2 linked regions of the Bombyx mori genome follow. The protein of the gene in region 1 purifies or fractionates together with the protein of each later gene. This does not show direct contact. Links are inferred from orthologs where the notes say so. Each region holds a gene or a part of one and is shown on either strand. Other genes may lie near its edges.

What was found.
Region 2: the proteins of isoleucine--tRNA ligase, cytoplasmic (region 1) and leucine--tRNA ligase, cytoplasmic purify together in Homo sapiens (affinity purification with mass spectrometry; 7 studies listed by BioGRID and IntAct, counting the BioPlex papers as one, with this or other methods). This does not show direct contact. The link is inferred for Bombyx mori from reciprocal best matches to the Homo sapiens genes IARS1 and LARS1.

What each region holds. Positions count from the first base shown.
Region 1 is NC_085127.1:9,600,044-9,603,803, reverse strand, and holds the start of isoleucine--tRNA ligase, cytoplasmic, read right to left. Parts: upstream 2,292-3,760; 5' UTR 2,013-2,291; coding exon 1,792-2,012; intron 932-1,791; coding exon 826-931; intron 685-825; coding exon 483-684; intron 412-482; coding exon 1-411. UniProt on the Homo sapiens protein: Catalyzes the specific attachment of an amino acid to its cognate tRNA in a 2 step reaction: the amino acid (AA) is first activated by ATP to form AA-AMP and then transferred to the acceptor end of the tRNA.
Region 2 is NC_085119.1:13,741,160-13,744,819, reverse strand, and holds part of leucine--tRNA ligase, cytoplasmic, read right to left. Parts: intron 3,122-3,660; coding exon 2,867-3,121; intron 2,185-2,866; coding exon 1,975-2,184; intron 1,062-1,974; coding exon 827-1,061; intron 1-826. UniProt on the Homo sapiens protein: Aminoacyl-tRNA synthetase that catalyzes the specific attachment of leucine to its cognate tRNA (tRNA(Leu)).

The DNA.
Region 1 (3,760 bases):
CACCAGGAAATTTCTCAAGAATCATGAAGTCTGTAGTGTTTTTGAAGATAACAGGAAACCTAGACTCTTGAATGACATAACATGTACCAGTTTTATTTTCTTGAATCTTGATATATATCAATTTGGGATTTACACAAAGAGCTAAATTACTAGGCAATGTCCAAGGTGTGGTAGTCCAAGCAAGTAAGGAATATCCTTTATCAGTAGGAAAAGAAACAACAACAGCTGGATCTACAACTTCTTTATAGTTCTGTCCAGATTCAAAGTTAGATAATGGAGTTGAACATGCCGTAGAATAAGGCATCACCTTCACTCCTTGATACACCAAGCCTTTGTTGTACAGTTCCTTGAAAACCCACCAAATGGATTCCATAAACCATGGGTATAAAGTTTTATAATCATTTTTAAAGTCTGCAAAATGATATTGTGATTAAACCATATAATAAATTTATAATTCACAAAGAAATCTAAGTATTATTTACCAATCCATCGACCCATACGAGTGATAATATTCTCCCAGTCAGCAGCATACTTCATCACAATTTTTCGGCATTCTGCATTGTATTTGTCAATACCCAATTTATGTACATCTTCTGGACCTTTAATGCCCAAAGTTTTGTCAATCTCAAATTCTACAGGAAGTCCATGACAATCCCAACCAAATCTTCTTTCTACATGATAGCCCTGGAATAAGTAAGTTAAGATAGTTGATTCTCATTTCAATTTTCAAAAAGATGTAAACTTGCTAGATTTTAAATACAAGTTTATATACCTTTAAAATTAAACTAATGTAAAAATAAATAATTTAAACAGTAATTTTTTTACCTGTTGATGAGCATATCTCGTGACCACATCCTTTATGGTGCCTGCAAGTATGTGACCATAATGAGGCAGTCCTGTTGCAAATGGTGGTCCATCATAAAATGAGTACCTATAAGTAACTATATTTATGACAATGTTCACTTCCCAAGCTAGTAATATAATGTGGTCATTTAACCACTAACCAAGTCAAATTCCTCAAATGTAAAGAAATTTAGGTTAGTAAGTATTCAAGCTCACAGCTCACCTGGTGTTAAGTGGTAACTGGACCCCATAGACATCTACAACGTAAATGCGCCCCCCACCGTGAGATGTAAGTTCTAAGGTCTCAAGTATAGTTACAACGGCTGCCCCACCCTTCCATCGAAATTCATTACTGCTTCACAGCCGAAATAGGCAGGGTGGTGGTACCTACCCGTGCGGACTCACAAAAGGTCCTACCACCAGTTATTACGCAAATTAATTTAGCGGGTTAGTTTTTTTTATTGCTTAGATGGGTGGACGAGCTCACAGCCCACCTGGTGTTAAGTGGTTACTGGAGCCTATAGACATCTACAACGTAAATGCGCCACCCACCTTAAGATATAAGTTCTAAGGTCTCAAGTATAGTTACAACGGCTGCCCCACCCTTCTTCACGGCAGATATAGGCAGGGTGGTGGTAGGCCGTACGGAGAGGTGAGGTTAGGCAAATGAATAGATTATTTAAATGGCCTTCATTCAGTTATGAAAATATAAAACAAATTGAACCGTTTGTGGTTTCTGTGTGTAAATAATAATGTGACGAAAGGTTATGAAAAAAGTAACGTTTTATTATAGTTTTACGAACCAGCTGTTAAATAAAACTTTTACAATACCACGACACACTTTGAAATTTTAATGTACTTTTAGGATAACGCATATAAAGCAGTTATCTTAATAAGAATGCTATTCATTTTCTTTCAATATGCGCTAATATGAAAGTATTGACTTACTTTGGTCTGCTTTTGGATTGTTTTAAACAAGTCTGGAAAGCATCGATTTTTTTCCAAAATTCTAAGATTTTGTCCTCTTCGGCTGGAAAGTTAATACTTTCCGGCACTCTTTCTACTTTATTTGCCATTCTCACAATTTTGGAATTGTGGTGAAATTTTAGCCTATTCACCAGGGGGGTGCAACTCCCATACAAAGGAAAAGAACATTCAACTAGCGTCATCTTTAGGAACCGGCGAGGTCATTTTTGAAACGTTTTGGCCTTAATGAACTAATAAACTCACTAGATGGCAGATACGAGTTCTGACTCAATAAAAAAGGTTAGCGTACTTTGAAGCAGTGCTTCCACTTTTAGGGAATTCTCCCTTTTTTAGGGAAAAATAGCTGATATTTTGGATGATAAAGACAATTTAAAAAATACCAGGATTTAGGATATTTCGGGGTAAAAAGCAAAGCCTATACTAGTAACTGTTGTGAATTTTAAAATAAACGATAATTAAAGTAAAACAATGAACCTTTTACTTTATGGAGAGAGAATGACATTAAGTCGAGTTGACAAGTAAAAGAATAAAACAGAGTTGTGTATAAAAACTATAAAGAAGGTTTGATTCAACAGTAACCCTCTAGTAAAGTAAATCATAGATTAAGCCACTGCTTTTTTCTTAGGGATTCCCCAGAATCCCAATAAGTATAATCCGCCAAACTTTTATTTACCTATTTTCGTTGATGTCACCAGAACTTACTTGTATTGTAATATACAGGTACTTCATGTACCATGAATGATTATCATGGTAATTTCATTTACGAAAACCTTGTAATTGTCATTTCACTTTTGCTAGCAGTTCCTTCTTCAAAGATTGAGGTGGAAAGATTATTCAGTGTTCTCAAATGTAAAAATTGACAAAAGAAACAGGCTTTCTAATGAAACCCTGAACGGCTTGCTTCATAGAAAGTTCCCAACTTTGCCAGCAAACAATTGCTCAATTTTAGAACCGAACAGTGTTAGGTTGCGTGCAGCAAAAGAATATAAAAGCAATGCGTCGACTTCCTTGAAAATTCTAATCCTATAGATCTATGATCTTCTGGGGGCGTTTATATTATATATACCTACATTAAATAATATGCTGTGGTTTATTTTCTGTATTTTATTTATGCTTTCTATATAAAGGATTTATGAAAGTTGTCTAGGAAATTTTAGGGATAAATTCAAAAGAAACTAGGGTAAAATGTGTTAAAAAAAACGTAAGTGGAAACACTGCTTTGAAGTTTTCAAAATTCCAGGGCCGTAAAACAATCTCAAAAATAAAAAAAAAGTTTTCAAAATGTCGTAACGATTTAATTTTTTAAATCGTTTTTTTTGGTCTTGGTGTGAGTTATATTACGTTGTAGTATTAATTTAGAGCATCTTTTAGCTTTATGAGAATATTAGACGATTAGACATTGAGAAACTCTGTTTTGAATTCTCTTTAGACATAACTTGGTTCCAATACTTTTTTCTTCGTTAGCGTTTCGTAAGCCTGTGTAACTATTTTCGTTTCTTACAGAAAGTTTATTATTAAAAATCAGCATGCCTCGAAGATCGAAAATGAAATGCTATTTCGGATGCCTTGATAACGGTGAGTTTACACTATTTTCCCGGTATATTATTTGCTAACAGAATTATTATTCATAATATAATTAAATGAATTAGCACCAACTAATGGTCCTTCCTATTTCTGCTGCCTAGCTATCATATATGTTAAGTTTGATCAAAACAGTCGGAGTAAAGTCTCGTACTATCACACACACACCTCAGATAATAAAATTGTCTCGAGTGGGTGGAAGTATTTATGTTTTGCAACTCAGCGTATTATATGCTTATTGTCAAGTGGGCCCGAACTAGTTTTTTGGAATGATCAATCAGTCATGCTTTCCTGTTTAAATAAAATACAGCACAATTGATCTCACATCCAAAGTTAGATGATGGCATTC
Region 2 (3,660 bases), on another chromosome or scaffold:
TATTCTCAATTTGACAACAGACGTCAGGAACAAAAGGTTGACAATATTTTTATATTTTTTTTATATTGCTTAGATGGATGGACGAGCTCACAGCCCACCTGATGTTAAGTGGTTACTGGAGCCCATAGACATCTACAACGTAAATGCGCCACCCACCTCGATCGAAATAAATAGTATGCATGCGTGTGTGCGTCAAATACATGGTATGTAGTGTGTGTAATGTTTTATTTATTGATTTAATGTATCTTTTATGCATTATTTAAAAAAAATATTAGCATTGTGCACTTCTTCTCTATATTCTCTTTAAGTGTGGAAAATTTCATACTCCTCCGTCCGCGCAATTTTCGTAAAAAGGGAAACAAAGTTTTAGGTTCACGTATTAATATATAGATTCTAATTTTTACAAAACAATCGCACAGACAAGTTTTGATTACAAATTACATACTTACTTTTCTTGTACCTTTTTTTTGCGTTGACTGTTGATCGATTTCACGGCCCATCCAGTAATAAGTGATTATTGAGGTACGCGTCTGCGGCGTAAAAAAATGCTGATATGATTTTTTTATCGTTTAGATGGGTGGACGACTCCCGGCCCACCTGGTGTTAAGTGGTTACTGGAGCCCATAGACATCTACAACGTAAATGCGCCACCCACTTTGAGATATAAGTTCTAAGGTCTCAGTATAGTTACAACGGCTGCCCCGCCCTTCACACCAAACGCATTACTGCTTCACAGCTGAAATAGGCAGGGTGGTACCTACCCGCGCGGACTCACAAGAGGTCCTACCACCAGTAAGTAATATATGCATATAGTTCTCGCTCTCACCTTTGATAGCCTTCACGTCCTTGGCAAGTTTCGCCTTGAGTTTGTCGACGGTGTCTCCGTCAGCCACGTCGACGCTGAGGGTGAAGAGTCCGTTGAGCGGCGTGGGGTTGAGCAGGACGAGCGGGAGGGCGGGCTCGGCGCTGAACGTGATGTGCGGCTGTCCGGGGGCGCACTCCTCGCGGCTCCGCTCCGGCGCGTCGGCGCTGTCCGTGTACTTCACCTCTATCGCGTCCAACTGGTACATAATAATGATAATTGAACATAACGCGCTTCGGTTTGAAAGGCGGGGCAACCGTTATAACTATACTGAGACCTTAGAACTGATATCTCAAGGTGGGTGGCGCATTTACGTTATATACGTCTATAGGCTCCAGTAACCACTTAACACTGGGTGGGCTGTGAGCTACTCCACCCATTTAAGCAATAAAAAAAAGAGTAGAGTTATTAGTAAATTATTATTATTAGATTTAGATAGATTAGAATATTGGTAAATTGATTAGATTGTACTCTTCTACCTACTTATGTAAAGTTCTCCCTCTTTAAGAACGGTTAGCTGGTAGATAACTCAATTGTTGAGTTACACTTGCAATTTATATAAGTTTATTTATAAGTTTTCAAAAATATTGTATTTTGTATTTGAGAAGCTCATAATTGCGGGTCGTATAGAGGGCGAGCGTGTCGTGGGCAGAACACCAGAAGATCTAGCAAGAGAAGCACTTGGTGGTAGTCTGTACTGTGCAGTCCATGCCACCCATGATCGAGCACACTGGAAGTACGTCGCATGTGGTCGCGATCCTCAGTAGTGAGGGAACGATATAGTACAGCGGTCGGGGAACTTTTTTAATTGTTACCCCAAAATATTTTTGTGTAAGTTGATATTCCCCCATGGCGAAGAACAAAAAAAAACGAAATCGCTTCTTTTTAGCATCTCTCATATTATAGGCCCCATGATATTTTGAAAAGAAAACAATAACAAAAAATTTAACGATTCGAAGTTTCACTTCAATATATACTTTTTACTCACAAAAGTTTCATTTTTACCCCCCAAAATTTCATTTTACCCCATGTGGGATAATTTACCCCGGTTCCCCGACTGCTGATATAGAAGAAGACAGTAAAGAGTTGGAGTAGAGTAGAGGGGTGCTCACATCGAGCGTGGCTCGCAGGTAGGCGGCGTTGTCCCGCAGCACGGCGGCCTCGGCGAAGGGCAGCGCCAGCGCCAGCGCCGCGCCGCCGTCGCGCCGCACGCACTCGCGCGTCGCCTGCACGAACGGCATCACGCGCTTAGAGTACTTCCGCAGCTCGTCCAGCTGCGACAGCCGGCTCGAGATCGTCTTGTTGTCCGGGAGACCGTCCGGCTGGAAACAATGATCGTATATTACGCAAATTATAAAAAAAATATAATTCGTGTAATTACCGGTGGTAGGACCTCTTGTGATATGATACGTGTATATGCCTTGCAATATAGTAATTCGGTTTGAAGGGTGGGGCAGTCGTTGTAACTATACTGCAACCTTAGAACTCATATCTCAAGGTGGATGGGGTAACCATTTAGCACCAGGTGGCTTGTGAGCCCGACGCGATATATGAAAAAAAATTACATACAATTCGAGATGTCTGCGGTGTATGATTAAAAGACTATTATACCCGTAAAGCCTTAGTCACCGAACGTCGGACTATTTTAGACTATATCATAGTCTCTCTCTCTCTCATACTATCAGAGCTCGAACCAAGATAGCGACGCAGTGTGTTTCGAGGCTCACTAAGGCTACCTTTCAACACCGAGGACACTCCTCGCATCTCGGTTGTTATTATAGAAATCATTGACGCGTCCTATTCTCGACGGTCTACAAGGAGCCCCGGCCCGCTCCAGACCCCAGCTCGCTGGCGACACAACGCACTTGTCCTGTTGTGTCGATTCTCCCTGCGAAATGGTGCTCTCGGATATATAACGAGTTACCGCTTCCAGCGCTTCTTTAGCGAAGCAGCTAGCTACGTTGATCAGCTGTAAAATGGAATATATCAAGCGACTGTACACACCCCGTTAAGTTCTTTGAGCGTCGTCAAAATAATGCGTTGCCACTTCGGGAACTCCTTAGCGACCCAAATGACCGCCTTGTTGGGCTTCTTCTCTGGTTTAGGCGTTTCGCCTTTCTTCGGTTTCTTGAGTGCACAGTGATTCTTCAAGTAGACACGGAACGAGTGCGCGGCGTCCATCAGGTAGTTGCTGGCCTTCACCGCCACCTCGTCGACGTCGCCTGCGACCGGCCAGCGAGAGTGCAGGATGCTTGTTTTCTGATTAATAAATTAAAATCAATTGATACATTCAGTACGAAATATATAATATACTAGCCGTACTCGCCCGCTTCGCTGAGCAGTTAAAATTAACATTATTATTTATTGTCATTATTATTAGGGAGTCCAACACTCATATAAATATTAGCCTATCCATTAAGTACATGTATTTTCTACATGGATACGTCAATCGGATGCATGGTTCAGTAGTTATAGCGGAACATCCATAAAAACCACTATTATATATTAGTATAGATTATTGATCTGAATGTATTGTTAGTTACATAAGTGATAGTAGAACCTCTTGAAGTCCGCGCGGGTGGATACCACCGCCTTGCCTATTTCTGCCGTGAAGCAGTAATGCGTTTCAGTTTGAAGGATGGGGCAGCCGTTGTAACTATACTTGAGATCTTAGAACTTATATCTTAAGGTGGGTGGCGCATTTATGTTGCGGATGTCTATGGGCGCCAGTAACCACTTAACACCACTGGTGGTAGGACCTATTGTGATCCACTGGTGGTAGGACCTATTGTGAGTCC